Linked DNA regions of Alligator mississippiensis. The protein of the gene in region 1 purifies or fractionates together with the protein of each later gene. This does not show direct contact. Links are inferred from orthologs where the notes say so. Each region holds a gene or a part of one and is shown on either strand. Other genes may lie near its edges. The genes, in order: DHX9, ILF2, C1QBP and HNRNPAB.

Evidence for each region.
Region 2: the proteins of DHX9 (region 1) and ILF2 fractionate together in Homo sapiens (co-fractionation; 5 studies listed by BioGRID and IntAct, with this or other methods). This does not show direct contact. The link is inferred for Alligator mississippiensis from reciprocal best matches to the Homo sapiens genes DHX9 and ILF2.
Region 3: the proteins of DHX9 (region 1) and C1QBP purify together in Homo sapiens (affinity purification with mass spectrometry; 3 studies listed by BioGRID and IntAct, with this or other methods). This does not show direct contact. The link is inferred for Alligator mississippiensis from reciprocal best matches to the Homo sapiens genes DHX9 and C1QBP.
Region 4: the proteins of DHX9 (region 1) and HNRNPAB purify together in Homo sapiens (affinity purification with mass spectrometry; 3 studies listed by BioGRID and IntAct, with this or other methods). This does not show direct contact. The link is inferred for Alligator mississippiensis from reciprocal best matches to the Homo sapiens genes DHX9 and HNRNPAB.

Annotation. Positions count from the first base shown.
Region 1 is NC_081828.1:53,696,026-53,703,400, forward strand, and holds the start of DHX9 (ATP-dependent RNA helicase A), read left to right. Parts: upstream 1-4,318; 5' UTR 4,319-4,398; exon of another isoform or gene 4,399-4,548; 5' UTR 4,549-4,560; coding exon 4,561-4,671; intron 4,672-7,375. UniProt on the Homo sapiens protein: Multifunctional ATP-dependent nucleic acid helicase that unwinds DNA and RNA in a 3' to 5' direction and that plays important roles in many processes, such as DNA replication, transcriptional activation, post-transcriptional RNA regulation, mRNA translation and RNA-mediated gene silencing.
Region 2 is NC_081838.1:13,198,095-13,205,267, forward strand, and holds the start of ILF2 (interleukin enhancer-binding factor 2), read left to right. Parts: upstream 1-3,904; 5' UTR 3,905-3,992; coding exon 3,993-3,997; intron 3,998-4,253; coding exon 4,254-4,310; intron 4,311-4,773; coding exon 4,774-4,816; intron 4,817-5,934; coding exon 5,935-6,039; intron 6,040-6,440; coding exon 6,441-6,518; intron 6,519-6,747; coding exon 6,748-6,850; intron 6,851-6,935; coding exon 6,936-7,001; intron 7,002-7,173. Other genes in the region: NPR1 (atrial natriuretic peptide receptor 1), read right to left, coding at 1,027-1,723. UniProt on the Homo sapiens protein: Chromatin-interacting protein that forms a stable heterodimer with interleukin enhancer-binding factor 3/ILF3 and plays a role in several biological processes including transcription, innate immunity or cell growth.
Region 3 is NC_081837.1:15,043,769-15,051,122, reverse strand, and holds the start of C1QBP (complement component 1 Q subcomponent-binding protein, mitochondrial), read right to left. Parts: upstream 3,028-7,354; 5' UTR 2,979-3,027; coding exon 2,741-2,978; intron 2,483-2,740; coding exon 2,332-2,482; intron 1,651-2,331; coding exon 1,563-1,650; intron 1-1,562. Other genes in the region: ATP-dependent RNA helicase DHX33, read right to left, coding at 5,554-5,862, 7,012-7,098.
Region 4 is NC_081832.1:73,224,739-73,232,276, reverse strand, and holds the start of HNRNPAB (heterogeneous nuclear ribonucleoprotein A/B), read right to left. Parts: upstream 3,253-7,538; 5' UTR 3,155-3,252; intron 3,080-3,154; 5' UTR 3,059-3,079; coding exon 2,820-3,058; intron 1-2,819. UniProt on the Homo sapiens protein: Binds single-stranded RNA. Has a high affinity for G-rich and U-rich regions of hnRNA. Also binds to APOB mRNA transcripts around the RNA editing site.

The DNA.
Region 1 (7,375 bases):
CACAGCCAGAGGGCTATTCTTTTCCCCCTGGGGCAGAGCATGAGAAGAATCTGTGGGGAAAGCCAGGAGCAGCAAACCCAGTGCTGGAGCAGATTGCTGATTAGACCGGCTGACCAGGTGAAGGTAACCATGGCAGCCAGCAAAACAAAGAGGTGAGAGAGGGGAGACGTTTACCAGGTGGATCCTCAGGTGGAGAGACAGTCCCACGGAGGAAGAATCCACTGATACCTGCAAGCAGGGTTGTCCCTGGAGGGGGGGGGCGCACAAATTGGGGAGATTGCCCCAGGCCCTGCACTTTGGAGGGCCCTGCAGACAGTGCCTGCTGCAGTTGCTGTGCACTGCCAGCTCCGCCATGGCAGCTGCACACCACCATCCCCCTGCTTCAGCTGCTGGCCACCCCCCACTCCCCCCCAACCTCCTACTTACCACCCCCCAGCCCCGCACACCCCTAGGGATGTCTCTGCCTACAAGGGAAAGAGAGAGAGAGAAACTGGAGGTGAGCTGACAGGCTTAGGGGGAGTGGGTTGCACTGTGGTGAAGGGAGAAGGAAGACTGCAGGCTGTGATAATGGCTGGGATTACCCAGATCCTGCTGGGAATTCACTAATAAACCAATTTACTTTTATGCTGCTTCTGAGGTGAATTACTATGCCCTCTTTTGCTGGGGAATTAACTTCTTATTTTCCCATTTACATCAAGGCATGGGAGGTGAGTTGCAGGGAGGGAGATTTTGTTAGTCAATCCCACCTGGCCACATAGTCTACGGCCGAATCTCTGAATCAGCATCGAATCTCTGAATCCGAATCACTGTCCCTCCGAATCAGCTGAATCTGAATTCAAGTGAATACTTGCTGCTTTGCACATGCCTATTGCCTACCCCTGCTCTAATGATTGAATATGCTGCCCTCTTCCTTTCTTCCAGTACATACTAGCCAAAGCAGCCATGGAGTTGCAGCAGGAATTGACCCAGGGGTTTCTATAAAGCAGTAGAGAGCACTACCACTAAGTTTTTTTGAGAATGTCATGTATTTTAAGGTTAAGGAGTTCCATTATACATACTGGACCTAATTCTCCACTGCCTTTTACCTTGCGTAGTTATGTATACTATGATAAAGCACTATGGTAAAGTTTAATGTAAAGTGCTATCCATCTCTGTGTACAAGAATTCTGGCAGCATTTTTCACATTTCCTTGACTTGGTCTTCTTTGGGTGTAAGTCTTGCTTTCTAATTGCAGAACACAAACTTAGAAGCCAAGGTAGAGTTAGATGGTTGACTAGACTTTTCCAAAGATGTATAAGAAATTTAAATAAGCTTTCTTTTCAGTCAGACATGGAAAGGGAGATGATCTCCCCATCAGCCAATGAGTATGTGCATCTGCACCGAGTTCTTGTGCTACCATTCCTTTGAGAGAGACTGCAGAGCGCCAGCCTTCCAGGGTTCTAGGTAGAAGTATGCCCATGTACACTCCCAGCCAGAGCTATTCTAGGAAAATTTCTAGAATGTTTTCCCCAAGGCTTTTATTTTGTTACTTTTAGGATTATTTCTAATGAGAATGAAATCTTGTTACTGCTGTTCTAATGATGTTTACAAAACAAGACACTTTTTAAATAATAGGTAATATAGAAATAACCTATCTAAATATGTGATCTTCAAATGAGTAACTTCTATTTGTTTTGATAATCAACAAAGCTACCAAATTATTAAACTGGGTTTCTTCATGAACTTTTTTGTGTAACATTTTGATTATATTTCTGTGGGTTCTGGGGATCATAAACACATTCTTAAAAATAGTTGCATCACTGTTTTCTTTCTGCTTTGGAAAAATGCCCTTTGTGAGGCAGTAGAGGGGCAGGTGCCACTCTACTGGGAATTGATTTCTTTCTTTTTTAAAGAAGTTAGTAATTGTTTTTACTTTTGTTGCAATTTGGGATGAAAACAAATGTTAAGATATTGAAACTTTTCCTGCCGGATTGAAATCCTAAATTGTGTTTACCTCTGCTTAATACATCCTAGTGGCTGGTGCTAGGGCTTGCCAACCCAAGCTGCCCTGGTTCTGTTTTTGCCCCTTCATCTTCAATTTTGACCAAAAAACCCTACACAAAACACAAAAGAATTGGTAATTTTATGCCTGAGCATCTAAAATCAATCCAACCAGAAATACAGTATGAGAGGCACAGCCAGGAATTGTATATCCAGGATACACTTTTATTTTTTTACCTAAAAATGGCAAAGAGTCAAAAGTAGTTTCCATTAATTGTTCCTTTTAGCATAGCAGCCTTCCTATCTATCTCTGTCTCTTCTTTAATAGCAAGGGTGTTACTATTGTTGTTTAGTTCTCTAAAATGCCTAGCTATCTAGATAAACTACTGTGTGTTCCTTGCATAGTGAGGCTAATATGGTTAGCCAGAATGGTTTGCATGTGCCATTGTGCTGGAAAACTAAAGTTAGCATTAGTATATTTAAGTTCTGTTCTCTCAAATGTTGGTTTTTTTGTGGTTATTTCCCCTTCTCTATATGGATCCTGGCCTTCCAGGTGCTGAGTTTCCTGGATTGGGATCAAATAAGCCCTTAAGCACATACTCCACTTTAAAATGAGATGGTCACTTCGACTAAAAAAGGACTATTCAGATACTTGAAGTTAACTATATACAGTATTACTTTGGATCCAGGTGTTGAGTGCTCAAGACTTTGCAGAATTGACTGAAAATTGACACTGGACTTTCACAGGACTTTTACTCTGTGCAAGAAAATGAGAAATCTAAGCTTAGGAAGCAAGTCCCAGCTTTTCTTATGTTCCCTGGTTTATAATAAAACCCAACTTTGTTCTGGGTATAATTCTGCTAACCACCCAATTGCATTACCTTAAACCACACCAACTTTTTATCTCAGCTTCGGGTAGCACAGTGGTGTCAAATACATCTGGTCTTTCAGGCCAAGCGATTGATGCACAACCAACCCACAGACTAGCTGAACTGCATGGGGATGGCCACACAGGCCAGATCAAGCCCACGGACCCTCCCCTACATGCCAGATCCTAGCACCCATGGTGCTCACTCCAGCCAGTCTGGGGCCTGGAAGGAAGAGGCCCAGCGACCTGCCATGGGAACAAGCTATGATACTGCTGGGACTCCAATGCCATGGGTCCTGCCCAGGCATTTGCGTGTTACCAGGAAAAGGTCTCCAGGCCAGATTTGGCTTGTGGGCTATAGTATGTTTGACACTCCTGGAGCAGCAGAAGGGTAAGGCGGCAATAGTAACTTATTCACAACTACTTTTCATACTTCTTCCGTTTCTAGTCCAGCTCCTAGTACAAGCTAGAGCAGCACTTTAACTTGTCCTGGCTAATGTGGTCTCTGCGTAGTAAGTCATGGCACAGCTTCTGTGCCCCCTAGTGCATTCCCCTGCACCTCTTCATCTGCCTGTAGTCTCAGTCCTGGCACTCCTAGACAGTATGATTACATACAGCTGTAACACTTGGTTTTGTTTTTGCATCATGTAAAAGTGACCAATGCCTATTTAACAGCTGAGCTGTCCCCTTTTTTGGCTACTTTGATGTACAAGGAAAACCTCAAGTTTTATTTTTTTAGATTTTAAATTCCTTAATTTTTTTTTTAATTTTACAAAATCAACAATGTACATCTGCTCTTCCTAGGCCTTGCTCCAACACTAGCTGGAAGCTCTCACAGTACAGTTATTGTGAGCCCTACCCCCTGTATGACAGATGCATGTTGAGTCTTTAGCAGAGGCTTACTTTATTTGCTTACTCATTGGAGTTAAAGCAGCAAGAGCTTTAAACAGGCTAATATAAAGACCCTTCACTCCCAGTGGTTTATCTCTGGCCCTTATGGAATCTGCATGACGCGAGTGCTCCTGTCCTCGCAGGGGCCTCCTGCATAGATAGGTGAGCTGGCCATCTATCTGCCCAGGAAGAAAGATGCAGCCAGGAGGACCCCTGGTGACTGGGGGGGCCATCTTTCTGTCCCTCATCCATGCACATCTCCAGGCAGTTTCACCAGCTCCTTGGATTCGTTGGAGAGCCAGTGGGTGCTGGGTGGTGCATGCTGCTCCGTGTCCCCCCACAGAGCACTCGCTGTTAGTCTATGACCCTCGCTCTTGTCTGTTTGCTTTAGTTGTCCCAAGGACTCTGCTGGCGAACGCTTACTAGCACCCTCCAAAAACAGGGTAAGCGTTTCTGTGCTGACTAGTGCGTGGTGGACCCGGCGCTAGCTGCGAGTCACGCAGGCCCCCGGCCGCTGGGGGCGCTGCCCCGCCCCGCCCCTCGGGCCGGCTCCACCACTCTGCTCAGTGCGCATGCGTCCAGCGGGCGCCATTTTGCGGGGGTCGGTGGGCCGCGCGTCTCACCTGTGACAGCGGCCGGGCTGGGAAATAACGACGCAGGTCAGCGGCTGCAAAGCGTAGCTCCGGGCGGAATGGGGCGGTGCTAGTGCGCAGTCGCCGCCGGGCTCCGTCCCACCTGGAAGCTGCCTTTGCGAGGGCTGGGAGGGGCGCGCTGCTGTGGCAGCTGCTAACTGTCGCGTGTGCCCGCAGGGCGGCCCCGCCATGGGGGACGTGAAGAACTTCCTGTACGCCTGGTGTGGCAAGAGGAAGGTGACGCCGGCCTACGAGATCCGCGCCGCTGGCAACAAGAACCGGCAGAAGTTCCAGTGCGAGGTGCGGCGGGGCGGGGCGTCGTGCGGCGGCTGCTGCTGCTGCTGCTGCTGCTCCCGCGCGCTGTGGGGGCGGGGCTTTGAGGGGAGAGTGGGGCCTGGGTGTGGGCGGGGCTGCCGCGGGGCAGGTAGCCGGGCTCCCGGGGAAGTGCAGGGGCTGTGTGAGGAAAGACGCACCCGTGGTGGTGTAGGCCGGGCATTGGAGCGCAGTCCCACAGACAAGTTCAGTGGCGTACCGAGGGTCTCTGGCACCTGGGGCCCCATGCTTACATTTGCGCCCCCACCTCCGTCGCAGAACGGGAGGGAGGGGTCCCCTAGCAGCCTATGGCAGAGCCCACACCCACCCGCCCACCCCCTGTGCCGGAAGCAAGCCCCCCAATAAAAGATATCGTGCACACACACACAACCTGTACCACAAGCAAGCCCCCCCCCCCCCGCCCCAAAGATATCACACAGCCCTGTACTGGAAGCAAGCCCCCCCCAGTAAAAGATAATCACACACACATACAGCTGTACTGGAAGCAACACCCCCCCCCAATAAAAGATATCACACACACACCCCTGTACGGAAGCAAGCCCCCCCCCAAAAGATATCATGCACACACACAGCTGTCTGCCCTCTCCCTGGAGCTGTCCACGGCTCAGTTTCACTCCCCCTCCGAGCCCCCTTTACACTTATGTGCATGGAGCTGCTGCTTGGCTGTCCCGAGCAGCCCTGCAGATGCAGAGGGCCAAGCTGGACTGGACCCGGTGGGGAGCACGGTCACCACACCATGTCTCTGCAGGCAGGCAGTGGCCCTGTGGGGGAGTAGTTCAGACACAGAGAGGAGCCAACTTGAATTTTGGGGGTTTCTAACCCCCAAGGCCCTCCCAGTGCCATGGCCCACAGAGGTGCAATGTGGCAGGGTGCTCCTGGCCTGGCTGGCCTGGTTCCAACTGCCCAGCCCACCCCGCTCCAGGTAAGGCGTGACTCGCCCAGCCCAGCCCTCTCCCTACCAGACAGCGCCACTCAGCCCACAGATGTAGCACAGCTTTTTAGGCAAGACCCCAGTCCTGCCTCCTCTCCTCCAGCCCTATTGGTGGAGGAGGAGCCCTGCTTCCGTCTCACAGGGAAGCAAACGTGAAAACCGCAGTTTTAAACTTGGTGCCAGATATGGGCACTGAGTTTAAACTGTGGCTTTCGCTTCCCTGCTGGTGAGGATCCCAGGACTCCGAATTGGAATGGGCCCCTGGGCACGTGTGCCCAGTTTGCCCGTGCATTAATCTGCCTATGACCTGGCCAGCACCACCCCACCAGGCCTGTGCCCAGGGGCCATGGCCTCCCCCTTGGTGCATCACCTGAGCGCAGGGGACAGCTGAGGTGAAAACAGGGATGGGAAAGAGGCCTCAGGTTTAAAAGTGCTCCAAGGGGTAGACCCTGAGCAGAGCATGCCAGGCAGTGCCCACTGGCCCCTGAATAAATCCAGGGAACCAGTGGATGCTGCCTGGTGATACTCTGCCTCGAGACAGGAAAGTACAAGGGCATGGGAAGTGGCTCCACAGTTCCTGAGGACCCTTCTGGCCAGAGCCCCCTTCCTGGTGAGGTATACTGTCAGTTTGGCCAGGGCCAGAAGAAGGTTGTCCAGAAGGTTCTGGGACTAGGTAGGGCCATGGATGGGGAGTGCGTAAATAAACAGGTGAGGGGAGAAGTGCAGCCAGAACCTCAGTAAGACATTCTGGAGGAGGCAGTACAAGGGCTGTAGCTCCATCTCACCCAGCTCGCGGAAGGGCCTGTGGGAAATAGGCCTATTTGTCACCCTTTAAAACGTGAGCCCAGCCCACCAAGTCTCTCATTGGCTTCCCTTAGGCAGGGAAGCTACAGGAAAAACGGACAGCATATTTCTTGGAGCAAATAATGAAAAAACAGAGAAGGAAGTGCCACTCAGTTTCAAAACAAACATGCCGAGTGGGGACACTGAACAGAGCACACCAAACAGCACCCACTGGCCCTCAAATGAGTCCAAGGAGCCAGCAGGCACTGCCTGCTGATACTTTGCTTGGAGACAGGAGTAAAGCAGGGCAAGGAAAGCAGTCCCCAGGGACCCTCCCAGCCAGAGCCGCATTCCTTGTCAGATACACAGCCAGCTCGGCCAGGGCTAGGAGGAGGTTGACCAGGAGGTTCTGGGACTTGGTAGGGCCATGGACAGGGAGCACTTAAATAAACAGGTGAGGGAAGAAGTGCAGCTAGAACCTCAGCAAGAGGTTCTGGAGGAGGCAGTACAGGGGCTACAGCCATGTCTCTTCCTGCTCACAGAAGGGCCTGTGGGAAATGGGAGACTGGGCAAGACAGACCTATGATTTGACCCAGTAAAGGGCAGTGCTTATGTATGTGTGCGGCCATATATATGTAATGAAAGAAGCAGTCACCAGTGAGGTCTAGTATGTGTCAGATGTACGAGAGGATTTGGTGACCCTGTTGTTTTGCTGGGAAGTGGGTAAAGATAAGCTGTTCTTTCCTTTGTGTGGTGTGAAGCGTTGTACCAGCCTCATAGATTCATAGATGTTAGGGTTGGAAGGGACCTCAATAGATCATCGAGTCCGACCCCCTGCATAGGCAGGAAAGAGTGCTGGGTCTAGATGACCCCAGCTAGATGCATATCCAACCTCCTCTTGAAGACTCCCAGGGTAGGGGAGAGCACCACCTCCCTTGGGAGCCCGTTCCAGACCTT
Region 2 (7,173 bases), on another chromosome or scaffold:
TGATTTATGGGCTGGGCGGGCGCTCGCCCTTCCCTCCACCATGGCTTCCACAGGGCCCAGTGGAAACCCAGGGGCGCGAGGCTCCGTGGCCATGGAGCTGCCCCAGCTTTGCAGCTGTTTATGGGGCTCTCAGCTGTGGGGGGTGGACAGGGAGGGGGTGCCCAGGGTGGGGCAATGGAGGGTCCCAGTGACAGCAGCTAGTGAGAGGACCCTGGGGGGTCAACCCCGAGAAGACCCCGGGGACCCATCATGGCTCTGTGCTTCCCCCCAGGGCTCCGGGTGGCTCCATCATGCTTCCCACTTCATGTCAGGGCTGGGACCCTCTGCCAGGACACCCGAGACATGCCAGGGGTAATGGAGACTGGAGGGGACTTGGCACCAATTTTGCTTGTGCAACAGGGCTCTGCCATGGCATGTCTGTTTGTGTGCACTGTTGTGCGTGCATGCACACACGTGCGTGCGCACGCATGCACGCACACACACACACACACACACACACTCTTGTACCACATTAGGGCTCGATCCAAAGCCCAGGGACATCGGGGGAAACGTTCCAAGGGCTGGCCAACAACTCAGGATTGGGTCCGGGGGGGAAAGGAGGAGCCATGGGGGTGCCCAGCCCTGGGTGCACCCCCGTCTGGCTGTGCCTGGCCCCCCCACCTCAGCTGGGACTGGGGGGCTGACCCCTTCCCTGAGGATGCCCCCTTCTCCAATCCTCAGGCTGCTCCCTTCCCCGATCCTGGAGGCTGGGGGAGCTGCTGGGAGCTCCCGCCCTGGAGGGATGGGAACGGGGAAGGGGGATGCACTTGCCCCCTGACCCATGTGGGGCTTTGCTTCTTCCCGAGCCCCCCAGGAGCAAGGCAGAAGTACGGTCTCCCCAACCCTGGTCACGGCAGATGTGTCCCCTTCTCACCTGTACCCTGACCCCTACTGCCAGCCTGGCCTGGGGCGCTGGGGCAAACCTTCACTGCGCAGAGTGGGCCTGGGGCCTGTGGGGCACATGGGGCAGGGGTTGGGGGCACTCACTCCGTGTCTTGCTCTTGATCTCCTGCACAAGGAAGGTGTAGTTGGCCTTGTCCTGGTCCTTGAAGGGGATGTCGAGCACGGTGAGGTTGTGGAAGCTGGGCAGCTGCACGTAGATGCCCTCGATGGCAAAGTAGCAGGGCCGGTCATCCAGCTTGTCGTCCCAGTACACCAGCATGGCGTGGCGTGTCCAGTTGAAGTGGCGCTGCAGGGCCACAGCGAAGGCGCCCAGCTTGCGGTGGCTGGGGCCAGCCCGTGTGGTCAGTGCATAGACGTCTGCCTTGTCGTCGAAGCCGTGCGCCTCGGCGCCCGCCGTCACCAGGGGCAGGCGCCAGTGCCGTGTGAAGCGGGCCACAGGCGCTGAGGCGTAGATGCAGCCGGGCCCCAGGAAGGCGCTGGGATTTGTGGCCCACTTGAGGTCCACGGCGGCCAGTGGTGCGGCCGAGTCGGAGCACACGCCGTGCTCGTCCTCGCTGCTGCCGAACACCCATTGCAGCCGGTGCCGCGGCAGCAGGTCGGGGCGCTGGTTCACCCGCTCCATGGCCAGCTGAATGGCCGGGCCGACCCGGGGCCAGGCCCACGGGTAGCTCAGGTTGCGGTGTGGCAGCACCACGGCCATGGTCAGGTTGGCGTCGTGGCCTCGCGCCCCACCCACTGCGCTCAGCAGCGCGCCCAGCAGTGCCACGAGTGCCCGCCGCATGGCGTCGCTGCCGTCCCCACGCCTGCCCTAGGCCTGTGGCATCGCGCCCCCGCGCCCTGCCACGGCCCCGCCACCCGGCGCTGCTTCTCGGTGCCGCGCCAGCGAGCGACTGATTATCTCCCGGGCAGGCAGTGCTTTTCCTTCCCCTCATTCAACGACAAAAGGGCTGTTATCATCGCACGGCTCCTTAACCCCTTGCTGCCTGCAGCTGCCGGCCTGCCCCGCCCCCGTGCCCGCAGGGGGAGGCAGGAAGAGATGCCCCCCGAGGGGCAAATCTATCATCTTAATGGGGTGGGGGGGGGTACAAAGGGGGGCGATGCAGGCTGTATGCATTACCCCCCCAGGGCATTCTGCCATAATTAGAGGAGAGGAGGGTGGGGGGTAGTGGGGGCTATGGGACAGTGGGTGCCTTTGGCCCCCCAGGCTGGGGGAGGGGATGGGGCAGGCTGGGGGAGCCCTGGGGTTGCATGGGAGGGAATCTGTTCCCCCCTTTCATCCTGGCAGCTAGGAGGCAGCTGGGGGGCCGGGGTGGAGCGGGAGCAGTGGGCTCATTCTGCACATGGTTGGGGGTTCCCAGGTGTATCCCACTTGACCCCCCCTGAGCCCCTTGGGACCTCGGTACCCACCATGGCCCACACTGGCAGTGCCTGCCCCAGCCGGGGCGGGGGGGGGACGAGGGGAGGGGAAAGGGTTTGATCCAGCTGGAAAAACACCGATGGGTGAAAAACACCAAGCATGCAGCACCCGCCCCCGCAACCACACTGGACCTGATCCCAGCAGCTGGGGGCCTGATCCTGCCCTATCCTGGAACAGCCCCCGGGCCCCAAGATGTTCCCCCGTCCAGTGTTGCCAGGCTCTATGCCACTCCACCAAGTGCCAGCTGCCTGAGTCAGGGGATGACAGGTGGCCCCCAGCCCTCTCCCTTGCTCTGCTCAGGGTGGACCCCAGCGGCCTGGGCCAAGGATCGGGCCCCACTGGGGGGGTGCCATGAGCAGCCGGTCATGCACTCACCCCTGACAGCCCAGATCCTGCCCTGCCGGCTGACCCCAGGCAAGCTTCTTGGGGGACATGTTTGCACCCTTGACCTGGGCACATCCTGCCAGCCCGCTTTCCCGCAGGGGAGCTGCTGGGTCACGCCCCCTGGCAGCTGGGATAAGTGGAGGTGCTTTTGCAGCTTCATTAGTGCAGGACATGGGATTGCCACAATCGGGCATTCCCGTGACCGGGGCACTAATGGGGCCCATTACCCAGGTAAAGAGCAGGGCAGGTAGGTGGGGGCCCTGACACATGGGGAGGGGGTCCCTGCCACCCGCTGCCTCTTTGGGGCAGGGTCCTGAGACCCCTGCCCACCCTTTCTCTGGGCAGACAGGGCAGTCATGAGAAACAAGTCAGGGAGGGCATTGCCCCCAGGAGAGCAGGGGCCTGGGCACCATGACCTGGGGGGCAGAGCTGGGGGGCTACAAGGGTGGCAAGGCCCAGGCAGGGCCTCCCGGAGCCCAGGGGCATGGAGCAGGCCTAGCCCTGGGGCAGCAGCACCCCCAGGAATGGGGGTACCAGGGATGGCAGGGCAGGCCCTGGGACAGTGGGTTGTTTCTGCCCCCTCCCTGGTATGGGAGAGCACGTGCTCCCTGGATGTGCCCCCCCCAGGTGTGGGGAGGCCCCTCAGGCTGCATAGGACAGCAGGAAAAAGCAGGCAGGCGGTACTAATGAAAAGCAGCTAATTAATTAATTACCCAGCTTTTTAATTAACCCAAAAGGAGCAAAAAAGAAACAACTAGCAGAGGATGGTTTCGATCCATCGACCTCTGGGTTATGGGCCCAGCACGCTTCCGCTGCGCCACTCTGCTGCTTGAATTCAGAGCTCTGATGACTCCATATAAGGCTACCTCCAGCCACTCACGCATGCGCAGCGAAGACGCCCATGAGCTGCCACCCAGCACCCATTCTACGCACGTCCCGCGCCACCTTGCGGCCCCGCTCGCGCCCTGCAAGACGCATGCGCAGTAGCACGGGCCCGCTCGCCAACGGCCGCCTTCTTGTTCCCGCCCCCCGGGCCTGTAACTGGCCCAGCGCTCCCTCTCCGATTGGCTCGTTTGAGATAGATGGGGAAGCAACCCAGTAGCCAAACAGCGAGCGAAAATACCAGCCCGCGGTTGGCTGTGCGAGAACCAATCGCCGGGCCGCTTGTTGCGGAGTGGACAGCGCTGGCCGGCGGCTTCTTCTCGGCGGCGGCGGCGGCGGGTTCCATTGTTCGGGGGTAGCGGGCGCCATGAGGTGAGCGGCGGCTAGGGAGGCCCGGGGGGGTCGGGATGTGGGGAGGGGCTGAGGACCCCGCAGGCGGGGCGGGGAAGGAGGACGGGGTGCCCTACAGGGGTTGCAGTCGAGGGGGTGAGTGCGGGGGATGCAAGGGAGGGCTGAAGGGGGGTGGGGGCGCCTCGCGGGGAGGATGAAGGGGGTAGAGGGCTTGGCCGTAGGGGCAGGGGCTCGGGGCCTTGCTCAGCTGTGACTCACTGCCTCTTCTCTCTCCCAGGGGTGATCGAGGTCGCGGCCGTGGCGGGCGCTTCGGGTCCAGGGGCCCTGGCAGCGGGTGAGCGCCGTCTCTGTTAGAGGGTGCTGGTGGGAGCGCTGCCTCCCTAGCCTGGGACCCCACTTTGAGGGGCTGCCAAGGGGGCCCTGCAGGGCCAACAGCCTCTAGCTTGTTCCTGCCCTAAACCTCTGTGAGAAGCGAAGCTTCCTAGACCTTCAGTGCTGGAGGCTGCATGCGAGAGAGCAGCGGTAAAAACGCTGGTCAGATGCAGCTCGCTCTCCCTTCCAGCTCCGCTCTCTGCCCCTCTGACGGGAGGCTGCGCAGCTTGGACCTGGCCTGTGGTCTGACCCAGTCAAAGGCAGTTCTGATTTTTCTCCAGCCTAGGTTCCTAGGGAGAGGGATGCGTCTAGTCACCCATTTTAAAGCTTCTCAAAAGTTTGTCCAGGCAGGGGGGGGGGGAATATTCTTGTCCTTTGCATATAATGAGAACTCACCTCCATTTTCTCCCACTTTTTCCTTTTAGATTCAGGCCCTTCGTGCCACACATTCCCTTTGACTTCTATGTGGTAAGTAACCTCTCGCAGTGCTTGGTGCCGGCTGTATAAAACAGCAGCAGGGTTGTAGTGGAAATAACACTTTGTTGAAGTAAAAAAAGTTGCTTGTTTCTTTTAAGAAAGGGAATGTAATAGCAGAACATCCTGTGGGGCCATAGGAAATAGTGAGTTTCAAAACCAAAAATGTACGTCTGATTCTTGGCCTGCTCAAGTGAGCGGGAGGCAAGTAGGTCTTTGAGGCAGTGTCCATGCAGCGTTTGACAGAGGGTTGAAGACGTGTAGTATGGAAAGCCTTGGTGTTTATCACTAACATGCATCACAACCTATCCCACTGTTAAAGAGTGGAACAGGAAATGAAAATCCTCTCCCAGATCTGCAGCTAGTAGCCCAAAGTGTGCATTACCTTAGCCAGGTTCCCAGAGCAGTAGAGTCTGGCCTTCCTCCAGGTCTTGGTTTCTGTGTGGCCTAAACAGGAATGACTTTCTTCTCTGTCTTCTTATAGAGGAGGAAGAGGAGGAGCTCATTTCCTTCCTTCATTGAGCCTGTCTGGTGTAGGGACACACAGGTGTGGCTTTCTCAGGGAAAATGGGTTAACCATTTCCTTGCCTTACAAGGCCAGGATCTTTGTTCCCATTGCAACAATTCAAGCGGTTTGAGTAACTACAGGGTCTCATTAGGAAATTCGGTATGTCATCTAATAGGTCTCAGATGCTTTACTGCCTTTTAGTACTCAGCTGGATCCATCATTAGAGATATACCTTTTAAGTCCTACCTCTCTATGTCATTTTGTTGCTTGTAAACTAAAAAAGCTTCTGTGCAGAGCATGCATAAATGCCTTGCTGCAGGTTCTGGTAACTAAGGTGCAGTTTTCAGAGACCTGCTCCTGATGCTGGAGCCTCGGTAAAGATGTGGGTAGGAAGGGAAGTTCTTTTTACTCCACTGAACCTAGTAGAAATAGAATGTGCAGCCTGGTTGCCGTGTCCAAAAGGCTGTAAGCAAGAAAATGTATTTGGAAGCTACTAGGGAAAGTGGAGAGGAAAACTAGGATAAGCTTGTTTTCTTCTTAAGTGCTGCACCAAAGATCTTGTATCACTGTGGAGCTGCTGCTTTAACGTTTGCTCCTGTTGCAGTGTGAGATGGCCTTCCCTCGCGTGAAGCCTGCAGCTGATGAGACGGCATTCAGTGAAGCCTTGCTGAAGAGAAACCAGGATCTGGCTCCAACTGCAGCCGAGCAGGTTAATAAAGCTTGCTTCCCATGTGCTTCCTATGGAAAACTTTCCTGAACTCAGACTGGTGCTAGGTTACTCTTAATTCAGTGTAGACTCTTTTGTAACAAACACCAGAAATGATCTTCCTGCAAAGGGAGACCTAGCTTTGCATGTCTCTCGACTTGACCAAGGGACAGAACCATGGCTGGGTGCTAATTCCAGCCTGCTGTAGGATGGAAAAGGGCTATGTTGCTTGGAAAGTGGTTTTAAATCTGTTTTTCCTGACTTGTCTGTTCCTCTGCATGTCTCAGGATTATCCAAATCCCATAATTTCCCAGCCTTTGAGACAAAGGCATGCATTTGTATCTCAGCTTTAGTTGAAACGGTCACTTGCTGCTGCCATCACCGCGTGCTCTCTTATTTTTCAGGCATCCATCCTGTCTCTGGTGACTAAAATAAACAACGTGATTGACAACTTGATAGTGGCGCCAGGAACTTTTGAAGTGGTGAGTCAGTCTTGTCTGCCGAGATGTGCCAGGTCTGCAGGGTTGGTGCAGCTCTTCGGAGGCTGCCTTAGTCTGGTTGGGTGTCTCCTTGTCCTGATGAGGCAGATCAGTTTTACAGCGTTGGTTTCTTTGCTCCTGCCCTTAGAGGCTCCCTCTCGAGGGAGGCTGTGAAGTTGAGTTGTGTGCTCTTGGCTTGTATTAACTTTTTTGGCTTGTTCTCTTGAAATAGCAAATTGAAGAAGTCCGCCAGGTGGGATCCTACAAGAAGGGCACCATGACGACAGGGCACAATGTAGCTGATTTGGTGGTGATCCTGAAAATCCTGCCTACCTGTAAGTGTCCTCTGCTCCTGATCGGGTGCGGCAGTCAGAACCACTCCAATGTCTCACTTCATTTTTTTTCTCTTTCCGTCTCTAGTGGAAGCAGTTGCTGCCTTGGGAAACAAAGTGGTGGAAAGTCTAAGAGCCCAGGATCCTACTGAAGGTTGGACCCTTTGCTGTGGGCAGTGGGGATGGAGATGAGTAGAACAAGTAGTGGAGTGACATGCCTGTTCCTAGTAAACAGGGACAGATTCAGTCCCTCTGGCCAGGACTACTACTTTCAGGACAAATCTGATGTCGCGGAAGAGACTTCAGCTTAGTGCTGCAGCCCCACA
Region 3 (7,354 bases), on another chromosome or scaffold:
GACACCAAGATGTGGGGAGAGGTAGGCACGCTCAAAGGGAGAGAGAGGCTGCAACTAGATATAGACAGACTACAGAAGTGGGTGGATGGTAACAGGATGGGCTTCAATGTGGGTAAGTGCAGGGTGCTGCACCTGGGGAGAAGGAACCCACAGCATACATACAGGCTGGGGAGCTCCCCCCTTGAAAGCACAGAGGCAGAAAGGGATCTTGGAGTCATTACTGACTCCAAGATGAACATGAGCCACCAATGCCAGACCGCAGCCAGCAAAGCCAACCACACCTTGTTGTGCATCTGAAGATGCATCTCAAACCAGTCCAGAGAGGTGATACTCCCCCTCTACGTGACATTGGTCCGGCCTCAATTGGAGTACTGTGTCCAGTTCTGGGCACCGCACTTTAAGAAGGATGTGGCCTGCCTCAAGAGAGTTCAGAGGAAGGCCACCTGCTTGGTTGGAGGGCAACAGGGCAGGCCCTATGAGGAGAGGCTGAGGGGCCTGAACCTGTTCAGCCTCAGCAAATGGGAGGCTGAGGGGGGATTTGGTGGCTGCCTACAAACACGTTAGGGGAGATCAGCAGCAAATAGGAAGGGCCCTATTTCCCCCAGCAGCACCTGGGGCAACAAGGAACAATGGCCAGAAGCTGCTGGAGAATAGGTTCAGGTTAGAAATTAGGAGGCACTATTTCACTGTTAGGGTGGCTAGGTTCTGGAACCAGCTTCCTAGGGAAGTGGTCCTCGCTCCTACCTTGGGTAAATTCAAAAAGAGGTTGGATGAACACCTGTCTGGGGTGGTGTGATCCCAGTGCGTGCTCCTACCAGTGGCGGGGGGTCAGACTAAATGATCTAGTCAGGTCCCTTCTGACCCCTAACTACTATGAAGTGCTCAGGGATTAGCGAGTTGGTTGCCCCAAACCACACTGGTGATTTAAACAACTACCAATACCATATACTGACTCTGCTCTCCCTTGTAACTAACTGTTGGAAGTCAGTGACCTTATAAAAAGATCAAGGATCAAGCCATTTAAGTTTTTGTGTGCACTGCAAGTTCTTAGTGCCATTGGTATCAGCCAGACATGTGAAGAGACGTGATCCCTGACTACTACAGCCAGACCAGTACACAGCTGTAGCGTAAACGCAGCTCATAGCACTGAGCTCTCCCTGATACGACTCATGGACAGGGTGGGGGCACCACACCAGGCTCTCTTTGCTCTATAGCACAGTAGCAAGGAGCTCCTTGCACAGACCTGGCCTTCATTACAGCAGGAAGGGAAGGCAGCTATAAGATCAACTACCTTCACTTGCAACTATAAAAAATTCCTCCTGCCCTGGCAGAGATTATGCCAAGTGGCCAAAAGCTTTTGCTACTGTAGGCCGGGCTTTTGCTACTGTAGTAATGGGAAAAAATAAAAGTAACAACAATCTGCATTATGCCAGCATTAAGCACCTTTGTGTTCTGAAGACCAAGTTAACAGTGTCTGCCCAAACACAACTGGGCAATGGCCTGACTTCCCCTCTACCCTACAGTGTACTAACTGAAAGGGAACACATAGGCTGTAGGTTTACCTCCTGTTCATCAGCTTTCTGTCCTTCTTGGGGCTCTTCATCAATCACTGGTGGGATGCTGTTGTTAATGTTGAACGTGACTGAAATCCTTTAACATCACAATAGGAAGAGTTAGTTGTACAACCCACATTAACTGTAACCCTACTCAAAGTTTCAAGTGCTGAACTCAAGATGCGAACAGGATTTGAAGTGTATTAAGCATCCCCCTGAATCTCCCCTGTACCTCATACAGCGCACTGCTCCCCAGTTTATGTGTTTTAAAATACAGCCATCTGCACCAAGTTTAAACTCCGTAAGTGCCCTATATTGACTAACAAGGATATTTTCAGTTTCGTAGGTTGAATTCTCTAGTTTTTCTTCTTGTGTGAAATGGTGGCATGAAGTTTTGGAATACACGGGATAGGAAACAGGGCAAAATTCTCCGTGACAAGCTCCCTTTTCCAAGAAAAGTAATGAGTATGAAACATCTAGCATTTCTCCTTGGCCATTTTTGTTTTCTCCTTGGTTGTGAAACAAACGTGACAAAAGCCATAAAGGAAATACAGAGCGCCTCAACCAGGGACGGGGCTGAGGAGGGGAACGCAACTAGGTTACAAGAAATACATAACCCCGGGGGACACTGGGAAGCAGCACTTAGTTCTTCATTAACATGCGCATGCCTCTTAAGCACATGTGCGCACCCAGCTTTATATACAGGGCTTTTTTTTTTGTTTTGTTTCCAGTTTGCTAACATCAAATAACATGAAACGCACAGATCCGCATCACTTACTTCTCGCCAGATACGTTCCGCAGCAGTTTGGCCTCGGTGCCCTGCACTTCCAGCTCCCACCCTCCGGACATCTCGGGCAGGGATTTGTGCTTCTGGATCTTCTTTTCTTGTTTGATCTCATCCATCAGGAACTCGGAAAACACTTTGTCCCCTTGCGAGGAACAGAAGAGGTCATTTGGGACAGGAGACATTTTGCTTCCTGGACCCGAGCTCCACCCCTGGCTTTCCCACCGACCCCCAGGTAAAAGAAGGGGAAGATTTCTGCGTCACCCTTCGCCGGCGCTGCCAGGCGGGGTGAAGGACTCAGAGGCTGCCCGCCCTGAGCAGGGTGCGGAAAGGCCCCAGGCGGGACCCGCTGCCCTGCAGCAGTGCAGGCCCAGGGCCAAGGTCACTCAGGCCGGAGGCTCACCCTCGGTGTGGAGACCGCCGCAGCCAAAGGACAGGCCGGGCGGGGGCCGCAGGAGCGCGGAGGGCCGCGGGCCGCCGGCCTCGCCGCAGAGCAGCCAGAGGGAGCGCGTGAAGGGGCGCGCGGCGGCGGCGGCGGCAGCAGGCGGGCCCCGCGGGAGGCGCGCGGCCGGGCGCAGCAGGGCGCGCGGCGAGCGGAGGGCGCCGGCGGCGGCGGAGCGGAGCGCTTGGGCTAGCAGCATGGCGTCTGGCGCGAAGCTAGAGAAGAAAGGCAGCGACACGTGCGAGAGGGAGTGCGGCCGGCCTGACCTCTGCCCCGGAAGCCGATGCCGCCAGCCGGAAGCGCGCTTCCTGCCCCGCCCCTTCCGCCTCCCGCCCGTGGGGCCGCCTGTTCGAGCTGCGCGCGCAGATACCCCGGCACGAGCCGACGCTCTGCAGGCGCTGCGTGACGGGAAACGGGCAGTTGTGCAACTAGTCGTTTCTAAATAACCCCAAACGTCGTTGAGAGACCGCCCCAACGACATGTGCTTTTATTTGACAGGCGTCACGTTTCTGTACGACGCCGGGGGCAGAGCTCTGCAACTCCCCGCTCCCACCGCTGCCCGGAGGCCCCCGGGGTGCAGCCGGCCACGGCCAAAATGCGCCCTCAGCGCCTTCGCCAGCCGTGGACAATACGGAGAAAGAGGCAGGGTCAGCGAGACGAGCGCCTACGTTTCGACAGGCACCCGTAACACGAAGTGTCACCCTTTGCGCCTGGGAAGAGACGGACGCGTGCTGCGACTCCGGGGTCGCTCGGGACACGCCGCGTACCTGGAGCGCGCCGGTTTACGCCAACGCTGCCCCTCGCCGCCAGCGATTTGCAGATTAGTTGGAACAAAGTCCAGGTTTTACAGAAGGATTGCTCATAGTTTTTGCGGACCGAGCAGAACAAAGCTGCTCCAGGACAAGCGAGACGTAGCCAAAGCTCGTGCCCAGAAAAGACGTTTTAAATGGGAAGCACAGCTCATCCCCCCTGCGCGCACAGCAGGCAGCAGCTTGTTGTTCCCACGGTTAATTAACGGTGTCAAAACTGGTTTGCAAATATGATCCCCATTAAAATGTAAGCCACCCCCGCCACACACTTTTTTCTTTTAAGTTGGATGTTTAAGAACGCAAGAGGGGACTAAACGCCGCATCACTTAGAAAGCAAGATACCACCACCACTCGCATTAAACTAAGCACGTTTTATTCCACAGTGACACTGCGTTTACAAAACTGGTCCCTCTCCCGCCCTTTTCGAAATCTAATCTGTTTTAATTCACCTCGGCCTAAAACTACCAACAGACTTCTGTTGAAATTGAAAAGCTGCCTCTCTCGGAGAGGTCCCGGTAGAAGTACTCGCACGGATATTGTTCAAAAATAACTTCTACATTTTTATCCGCCCCTGCTCTGTCACATGGAGCAGCGCATTGTGCTCGTTCCCGAGGGGAAAGCTCTAGAGTCGAGCAATGAGACTGGTCCAGCCTTTCTTAGTTCTAGTATAAAACACAGGATTAAAAAATAAGATTGGATCTTATTGCAATGTTTTCCTCCAGTGAAGAAACTGATGGCTAGACGCTCCAACGGGGTAAGCAGCAAAGACTGCCTAGGACATGACAAATGTTGCCATGCCAGAAAAAAAATATAAGGCAAGGCAAAATATAAATTAAGGGGGGAAGAAAAAGCAGAGAAATGCTGGTGTAAAGCCCTAATGGAAGTAATAAGTGTTTGATGATTAAAGGGTTCTCAATGGAAGTCTGACTCCAGCAGACATCTTCATAGTCTTTTTGTGAAAGTTGCTACCAAATAGCCTGATTAGCTAAAGCAATAGATCAGATAGTGCTTGAGGTTAGCAAAACATAGAGCTTGGTGTGTGTGCATGCACCATAGTTAGAGGGGGGTTTTAGTGCTAACATGCTGGGCTTAGTCTGGAACAGGGCCTGGGGGTCTGCTTTGACGCCTGGCTGTCGGGTCAAGAGACACCTCTCCTGGCAAAGACGACTGGCCAAACACGATTGGCAAAATGCAGACACTGGCAGTCTAATCTCTACACACACACAAAATATTCTGAGAAATAATGTTCAGGAGTAAAAACAGCTCTAACAGGTTGCTGACAACCGCTCTTGGGCACTGCATGACTATCGAGCCCAGACGGTTTATGTCTCAGACAGGCACAGGCAATGAATGTCAATTCAGGGAACCCTTTACTGGCCCTTGGATGCCTCAAAATAAGGCGGAGAGACCGACATTAGGCAGAGATGTCTGATGAGGTAAAAGACATTAGCACCTCCCCTCCTAAAAACATACATTTAAAAAGGCATTTTCTCTACATATACCTATATCTATACAGAGAAAGAAGAACGATTTAATTTTTTTTCCCCCAATAAAACTTGCAAAGGATACAAGGGCAACTGTAAAAAACCAAACTCAAATCTGCTCAGTAGAGTTTTTGGGATCTCATTTCTTTATACGTACCCCAGTAAAACTTGAGCTCATCTTAAAAATTGGAATCTGATGCCCCTTACTCTGCCCAACTATATACATATATATATATATATAGATTCACACACATACTGCATACATTACGTTCGCCCTTACATAATTCCTTGTAACCAAGGATGATTGTTCTAAGCCAGCAGAGATTCGCGAGGTCCAGCTTTCAGGAAGAAGCTGTTTTTCTGTAAGGTTGTACCTGATTGCCAAAGCAAAGCTCTCTTGCTTCTGTTTGTTCATTACAAAAAACATCTGATTGTGACCCTAAAAATCCCAGGCAGATTGTCCAACATCACCAAGTACTGGTCAGTTCTTGGCTGTTCTTAGCTTCCTGTGGAAATAATCTGGTGCAGCGTCATACAGCCAGTCTGCATCCACCACACACAGGTCCCGCATGTAGCATTTGTTGGTGTGAAGCAGTTCATTGTAAAGGACACAGGCTGGCTTGCAGTGGAAAAGGACAGAGGATGGGTGGATGGCCACCAGCTGGTGGGTGTCTGCAGTGACATAGGTGCCATCTGGCTGTAGCTCTGCAGCGTTCATAAAGAGGCTGTGAGCTAGGCAGCGGCGGATGTTCCCCGTATCCGACCGGGAGGACTCGATGGGCATGGAGAGCTGGTCAGGAACAAGAGAGAGAGAGATAACATAGCACCCTACATACAGGCTCCCTACACCAACCTAGAGTTGGGCTGCCATGTAAGCCAGGATGGGCTTCTGCAAGGCCACGGGCTCAAAAAGGAACAGGAATGCAAACTCCAACACTGCCGATGTCTTCCCCTGTGGAGATGGGCCAAGCTATAGCCCAGGTATAATCCCCAGTCCCACTATACTGAAGAACCTCTAGTCTTACCTGGCGGTGTGCATTAAGCCTACACCAACATGTGCAGTTGAGGACATAGGGTCAGGTTTTCCTCCAGCCCCACCTGACAAGCTGCCTACCCAGCCATGAAAATGCAGATCAGATCTAGCCCAGGTGCTGTTAATCCTCCATTACTATCCCACAGTTCCAGCTGAGCTGTAATTTCTTGTCCATCACCTCCCTTCTACACCAGAATTCAACTATCTTGGCTCAGTGCTGGAAATCCACAGTTGCCTGCTCCGTTTCTGCGGCACTCCTGCACCATATGCACAGAGATGAGAAGCTGTGCAGTCAGGCAGGCAAGCTCTGAGCCACTCAGTAGTGCACACTTAATGACAGCCTAATTAAAAGTTCTCAGTGTCACATCATGTGCTTTCATCTTCACAACTGTCCACCCAAACAGTGAACAACTCCACTTGGAAGTTATCCACATAAAGTGCTGTTCTCATATTACTGAGACAGGCCTCATGCTACAAGACAGCAAACTGGCCGGCGCACACATCCCACAGATTAGCTCATTAAAGCAAGCCACTTCAGTGCTCTGCTTAGGACCATAGAATATCTCACTAGAAACCCCTCACAGCACACAGGCTAGATCAGAATCATTCTGGACATAACTACATGGATCTGGCATAGACAAGGATTTGCATTAAGGATGGCTCAATATCATTTAGGCTAGCTCAGGCTAACTACCTTTAAGACATGCCCACAGATCTGCCGCCCAGGACAAGGCCAAGCTGACTTCTTTATGAGACTGAGTCAGTTCCAAGCTCATCAGCACTTAGACTTGGAATTGAAGTTATGAATGCATTTCCCTCTGCTGGCATCTGGGACAGAGAAACCATTTGGGGGCAGAAAAGATACAAAGCCAACAATGGAAGAAAAGTCATATTGCAAAGAATTACCTTTACACATATGTCCCTGAGCTGAGCTCTGACATCTGATACTAGCAGCATATTCCGGCCATTCACAAAGTTCTCTTTGCACCACTCCTGAAAGAGAGCAAGCAGGAGATAAAACAATCCACTTCTTCCCGAAGCATTCTGGAGACAGCCTTGGGTAAAGCAGAGTCCCCAACCACTTATGATCTTTAAAGATCACGATCCTTTTTTCAAGAGAACAATGCCGGCTTGGTTCCTAGCTTTGGCCGTCCCATCCTATCTAAAAATCTCTCCAGCAGTTCCAATCAGATGCACTGCTCTTCACTTCCTATCCTAAACCATTTGGTGGGCTTGCTGTGTGTTGTTG
Region 4 (7,538 bases), on another chromosome or scaffold:
TAAGTATAACTTGGGTATATCCTTCAGGTGCTCTGTGATGATTAAGCCATTCCCATATTTAGGTATTCCATCAAAAGTATTGGCATAGAAGAATTGCTCAACACTAACTTCACTTAAAATCCAAGAGGATAACTGTGGAGTATCCCAAGCACTCATTACAAAAATATGACAAAGTTAACTGTTCCAAACTATTTTTCATCCACGTTGATGCCCAATACTTTTACAGTATTTTGTTACTTGCCACTTGAGAGTTTTCTAGTTTCCAAAGTAAAAAGGGTGGATCAATTAAATATTCCTAGTTAAATCTGGGGTAAGACCTAGCATCAGTAAAGGTGCAATCTATCAGCTGAAGGAAGATAGCAAGAGGGAAGTTAGGCTGACCTATAGGCAAAGCAGTGCCTAACCTGTGAGGACTAGAAGGCTTAAAAATGAAAATGATCACCTCCTGAACTTATTGCAAACACCCTCTGACCCCTGACAACTTGGTTCTGCACAGAGACAAGACCTTGCTCTAGAACTGGGCGAATGCCTTTGTATTGATGCTTTTGTCCAGTTACTAAATAAGAGTACGTTTTCATCTCCACTACAGTCACACTGTAATGAAGTCAGGGAATAATCAATCTGCAGTTCTAAAAAGACACCACTTACAAAGATCTTTCCTTAAAAAACCCCCACCTTTTTAAAGGCTCACTTCCCATGTATTGGAAACAGGGGGGAGGGGAGGGAAGTTTAGGCCCATCTAGCCACAAACACAAAATACTGGCAAAAAAGATAAAATTAGGAAGTGAAAAAAAGTTTAGCAACTGGGGGGAGAACAAACAAAACACCCAAACAAATCAGCCAAGGCAACCAGAATTTATTGATAAAGGATATCCAACTCCCTTGGCTCTTAATTTAAGAGAGCACATGATACAGCAGGTTCATGCACATCAGGTAAGAGAGCTACATCATCCATCTCAGGAATTTTTGATGCCACAAACAAGTAAAGTAAACAGTTCAAAAAAGATCTTAGGCTCTGTACATCTGTAAGGACTCCCAAATCAGTTTAAGGTGGGCCTTTGTTTAGAAGCAGCCCAGTGACTAGATACCAGTTCCTGAGTGCATTTTAGCTTAATTGAATTGCAGTAACCTGAATTTTCTGAGGTTAATTTAAGGCTTCCAATTCCACCTGGTAAAGCATATACATTTATGTTCCCTGCAATCTGCAAGGTAGATGCTCATCTTTTTAGATACAGCCTGCAATATGCATCTGGTAAAGAGAAATCCTTCCTTCCCTCCACCTAACCTAAAACATTATTCTTTCAAATACTGAGCAGTCATGACCAAATGCATTACAAGATCTGTCGAGTGCATTCTGCTGTTGTTGTTAAACAGTTTGTTTGTTACCCTGTCACTAATCCAGCCCTGAAGAACCAGATCAGGTTTTACCAAGCCAGGGACATGTTTACGCACTCTTTACCACAACAGCAGAATAATGGCCATTGGTTTCATTCTCCCCAGAACAGCTTTCACTCCCTGTACAAGAGAAGTTTTGCAAGGCTGCTCTGATCTGTCCTTTGCTAGTGCTTCCATAATCTTTGGGGGCTTTAAAAACCAAACAGCAAAATAGCCCTGTAGTGGAAGTCTTGAAACTCCCAGTTGTGAGGCTAGAACTTTGCTGTCCATAAAGTACTTTGCCTAGTAGGGATGGGGCTGCTACCAGCATACTGAGCTCGTTTCTCACCATGGCAGCATTTACTGCATGTTATTACAAATCTTTGTCTTGGAATTGGATATAGGAGTAGGAACTACCTGGCTTCACCCAACATTCAGGCCAATCATCTTCTGTACAGAAATATACTTAAACTCTAGACTTCCTAATACCTAGTCTAAAATCCTCTAGTACAGAAAGCCAAAAGGTCTCATTTTCCCCATTACAACTATTACTTCCTCTTGCATGGTCACTACTTTTGGTGGCAGGATATTGACATTATGAGAAAAGGCTTCCTGCCAGTGCCCTGGGGCCCTGCAGCTTAGCCTGCCACTACACTGTGATGCTCTCCAATCATTTTTAACCTTCACACTTGCAAGAGATTTAAAAAAAGGACTTCTCACACCCACATTTCCTGGCCCTCCCACCTCCCAGGAGAGAGAGAGCAAGTAGAGACCTAGCATAGCAGTTCCCACTCTGGTACCGGCACCACCCTCAGTACGCAGACAACCCGTCCAGGGTACATGTTAAATTTGGTATAGTTACTTTATGACAAAAATGACACGAAGGGCCAACTGAAAAAGATGTGCTGGTGGCACTTCAGGCTGCATCATTTCCTAGGCCGGAAGGGACCTCGGACCATCAACCAGGCCCAGCCCCTGCACCAAGCAGGACCCACAACTGTGGGGGGGGGTCATGTTTGAACACGGGTGCTGCGCCATCTGTCAGGCCAGGAACCACCGACCATCCCCCTCGCCCAGGCCCCCCCCCCGCCTCATTTCTGCCGACGTGCACCGCTGCATTAAAACGAAACGAAGCGTCTGCTGCACCCCCACCCTCGTCACGAAAACACCGCCCGCGGGGGCCTTTCCTGCCCGGCCCGCGGGGGGCCAGGCGAGCAGGACAAAGCCCCTCCACCCTGCTGCGGGTGACACCCCAGGCTCCCGGGGCCACGACCCCCACCCCCCGCGGGCGGCTCTGCCCTGCCCTGCCCTGCGCAGCGCCCGCCCCTCCCCCTCCGCGCTGCTCCGCTCCGCTCCCCTCCCCCGCCGCAGCCGCCACATGGCGCCAACAAAAGGCGGCCCCAGAACAAAGGAAGCGGCGGCCCCGCGCCCCCGCCGCCGCCTACCCCGCGTCCTCCTCGTTCTTGCTGGCGTTGATCTGGTCGCCCTCGGCCCCGTTCTGGCTGCCGGGCGCCGATGCCGCGGGCGCCGCCGCCGCCGTCGTCGTCGCTGCCCCCCCGCCGGCCTCGGCCTCGGCTTCGGCCTGCTGCTGCTGCTGCTGCTCCGCGCCGCCCTCGGCCGCCTCGTGCCCGTTCTGGGTGGCGCCCGCCGCCGCCGGCTGCTGCTGCTGCTCCGCCTCGGACATGCTGCCTCTCCGCGGCGGCGCCTGCAACACACAGCGCGGCTCAGCGTCGGCCCCTGCCTGCCTGCCTTCCCCTTCCCGGCCCGGCCCCGCGCTCACCTTAAAACCGCCCCAATAAAATCCGGGCCGGCCGGAATCGGATTAAAACCCCCGCGCGGCTGCGTGCGTGCTGCGCTCCCCCCGAGACACGTCTTCTCAGGGCCGCAGCCTCGACGCGTGGCCGCCTTTATAGAGCCGGAGAGCGAGCCACCCGCCAACAACAAGCTCGCTGGTTGGCTCCCTCTGGCTGTCGCTCAAGGGCCGGGCGGTGCCCATTGGTGGGTTCCAGGAGGGGCGGGGCTTGGCCTCATCCTTCTGCTTGGGGCTGGTGGGAGCCTTGCACCTCCTGGGGGTCGCTGCGCTGGGGCCGCCTTTTGTAGGGGTTTGAGTCAGTGGCTCTCCTTCCCATCTTTTATTTTTCACCTCTTCTTTCTTTTTTCACTTATAGAAAAATATTAAGGCCATTTTATTTATTTATTTTATTTTTGCAACGACTGCTCAGGAAGTTCTCCACTGGGCAGGATGGTTTTTTCACCCCTTCGGTTTCTCATTTGAAACCTCTGGGGTTGCCTTCCGAATCGCTGCAGCGTGCCCGGGAAGGCTCCCGGTCGAGCATCGCCACCCTCAGCGCTGCGCCTCGACGGCTGTGGCCGCCATCAAATGTTGACGTGTCTTTAGCTTTCGAGGAAAGGGAGCGTAGCGCGGGAGCCCCGAACCTGAGGGGTGTCACGGCGTTAAGACGGATGAGCGGTATAGCCTTCGCTACCTCTGGGTGCTTGCTTCAGTGCTTTATTTCCATATGAAAGGAAAGCATGGGGGGTGTTGTACACGTTTTGTAGTAACCGGAGTGATCAGGTCTGACTTTGGCCTTGTTTGAAGCTTAGCTTTGTCACCTCAGGTTTGTTGGGTTGTTTGTTTATTTTTTTCAACTTGAGTTTGCAGAGTAGCTAGAGTTGTGGAAACGGTTGCGTGTACCCTAAAGCTTTCGAGGCACTGGATCTCGAGTATAATTAAAAACGAAGAGAATCGGACTTCCTACCCGAGCTATGCTGTGACACAGTCCAGTGATGATGGGTTGATCTTTCATTGCTCGGTAGGGCCCTGGGCTGACTTCTTGGAGCGGAGTGGAGGCAACTGACATGTTACTTAAGCGCCAGCCTTGTAAATTCAGTCAAATGTGTAACTGTGTGTGAGCAGTCTTGTTGATTCAGACGTCTCTCATGGTGGAAAGCTTATTTTCATAGCGTTGTACTGGTTCAACTAAATAAGTGTAAAAGGCTATGCAGGTGTATTTATTTTTTGCTTAAACTGGTTTGTTTATTTTTCTAGACCTGCTAGTTTAGCAACTAGGAGACCTATATCTATATCTATATCTATATCTATATATATAGGAGACCTATATGTATCAGAATCCTATCCATCCATCTATCTATCCACCAGGAGATCTATAAAATACAGGTATAGATATAGATAGGTGGATAGTCTCCTGGTGAATAGATGGATAGGATTCTGATGTTATCACGTGTGTGTGGGAGTGAGAGCCTTGAACACGTGCCTGTGCCTCAGTCCAACCTGCCCAAGGGTGAATTTGAACCCATTGACATGCAGCCAAGTTTGAGGAGCCCAAAACAGCTCAGGTAATCATGAGCTTCTGCATAATCTGCTGTAGTTAGTATCTCATTCTGCCTTTTTCAGGGGGAGGAGCTTGGCTTTGGAGTAAACCTTCAGTGTATGTATCGCCACTTTCTTTTTTCCAACTGAGACTACTTGGCATAAGGATGGAAGTGACAACTGATTCCTGAGTTTCTTTGTAAATGTTGCTGAATGACAAAACCATTTGCCTCCTTGATGTTTTGAGATTTCTTTCTTGGTTCTCTTTAGGGTGCTGCACCTACTATTCTAATTTAGGATGATGTGTCTTCTTGTAGAGCAACCCAGCCTGCAATCCAGGCTACTCTAGGGCAGATCATCTTAAAAACATATTTTTACCCTCCACAAAATTAATTTGCAAAGGTGGTAATGCAGTAAAATCAAGAGGAAAAAATTAGATTGATTTTCTCCTCTTTGTAACAAGAAAAGAGCAAATGTTACAGAATAATTTTGTGGTCATGGTAAACAGAAAGTAAAATAGAATTGGTATGTGGAGTTTAAGGTTTCAGTCCAGTGCTTTTTGAAGTCAGTAAAGCAGTTATCTTTCCTGCTTGGTGCAGTGGGCTGGCCCGATGATCTTCCGAGGTCCCTTCCAGCCTTGCAATCTATGGAACAATATGAAACGATAAAGCCGTTCTATTGTTTGAGGCCCTGAACCAGACCTTTTAAGCAAACCTTTGTATGGTTATGAGGTCAGGTAAAAAAATAGGTGCTTCTTACGCAGCGGGAATTCACTATTTTGAGTGTGTTTTCTAGCCACTCAGTTGTCTTGCTGCTTGTAGTGACAGCTATTTTAAATAGTCCAAGCTGAAGTTTATGAGCTTGTGAAATGCACCCAACGGCTGTGGGAATTATAATACAATCTCTGTATATCGCTAAATCCTTAGACATAGTGTTTGTTTGTATTTTCTAATTCATTGGTTTTACATTTTCACTTGTCACAAATAGAGACTTCTTAGAACAATTTAAAACCTTCACAATACAAATAAATTTACACCCCTAGGAACAGGCTTGCCCCACTGGTGAATATTATGTTCTAGCCACACAGGATATTAATATATTCATATCCCACATTTTTTAGTTCATATCCAAATAGGTCTCACTTTTCACTTCACTACAAATTCTACAGCTGGCACCTTAAGGTTAAAATCTGAGACAATAGAGAGGCCTTGGACCATGCCCAAGCCAAGAAACTAAGGACTTGTAGAGACTCGGATGAAGAGTATATCCATAAACACCTGTTTATAAAAAACAGACCTAACTGCAAGGTGTGCAGCCGCATCTTGGCAGTCCTTGACTGCCTGTGGCAGGTAATGCAAATTAGAACAGCCTCCAGGATAACAGGGACTTGCAGAGTCCTTTTTGGGCCTGACATTTGCTACATCACAAACTCCACTGTCAGCATCACAGAGGACCTGAATCCATGTTATTTATTATTTGTAACCATCAGACCCCACTGAATAAGTTGTTGTAAACAGTCCTTCTGGGCTGTTGGAGCAATTTGATTTTTGGTCTTCGGCCTGTATTCAAAGGCTGTGGTTATTTCACAACAACCACACCCCCTCTCGTGTGTTGTTTCTTACATAACATATCTACTGTTTGGGGAAAAAAAAAGATCATGTTTTCATATGCCGATTGCCAGATCCTGCTAGTTTCATTATTATTATTATTATTGACACCAAGTTGAGTTTTATTTCTGTATGGATCTGGGAGGTCTTGGGCCCAGTTTCGGCACTCTTCTTTTGAGTAAGAGCTGATTGGTTGGTTGCTCCCACCCCTCCTCTACAGTCTTTTAATGCAAGTTTTGTTTGCAACCTTCTTCTCTTACCCACTTCTCCTCTTCTCTCCTCCAAATACCTGGGAACTAACATTCCCCTGCCCTGTTTCCCTTTCCTTTCTACTATTAACTAAACTTGCCCCCAAAAGCCTGGGAGCTAACTTGCCATTCACTGCCATCACAGTGTTCACTCTCTCTGGTGTAAATTATCCTTTTTCTCCCATTCTGTGTCTGTCTTGCCTATTTAGAAGCTCTTCAGGGCAATAACTGTGATTATTCATTGCTTTGGAACATGAGGCCCCATTCTTGGTAGACCTCCAGGCACAGCTGTAATAAATATGTTCAATAATATCACCAGTATGCAAGTTGTTCCATTAATTTACTAGGACTATTCATAGATGAAGCTTTACTCTAAATGGCAAAGTTGGCCTTCTATGATGCACAGATTTCAGATAAAGGAAGACAAGTGATAAAGTAGCAGTGATTGTATGACTTCTAATGCTAGCTTCTTTAGAAGTTATCCAATCATTGCTACTTTAGGTCTTTTCTTCCTTTAGCTGAAATCTGTTACTCAATATTCTAATTTTGAAATCAGTATTAACAGTGCCAAATATTCAGAGCACATTTCTAGAGGCACAGGTTTATCCACACCCAGTTTCCAGGCATGCAAGTTCCAAGGTTGATTGAGCACATGTAAACTATATCTGTCTCTTTACTTTGAATCCCCTTGCTTTGGCAAATTTAATTTGAAGGGGGATAATGAGTTACATTTACAAATATGTTGGAAGAGCTTCTTCCACACATGAGAGCAGCCCTGGAAAAAGGAGAAAAGTGTTCAAATAGCTGATGTGGGCAAGGGAACCAGGTATCCTGGGATTCATTGGAGGTGAGAATTAGCCTTTGGGAGCTAGATGGGAGATTGTAAGTAGGATAAAATTATACCAAGAAGGACCTTGAAATGGGACATGAGTAGCTTATGTCTGAGGTGATAAACAAGGAGCCTCTAGCTCAGGGGTG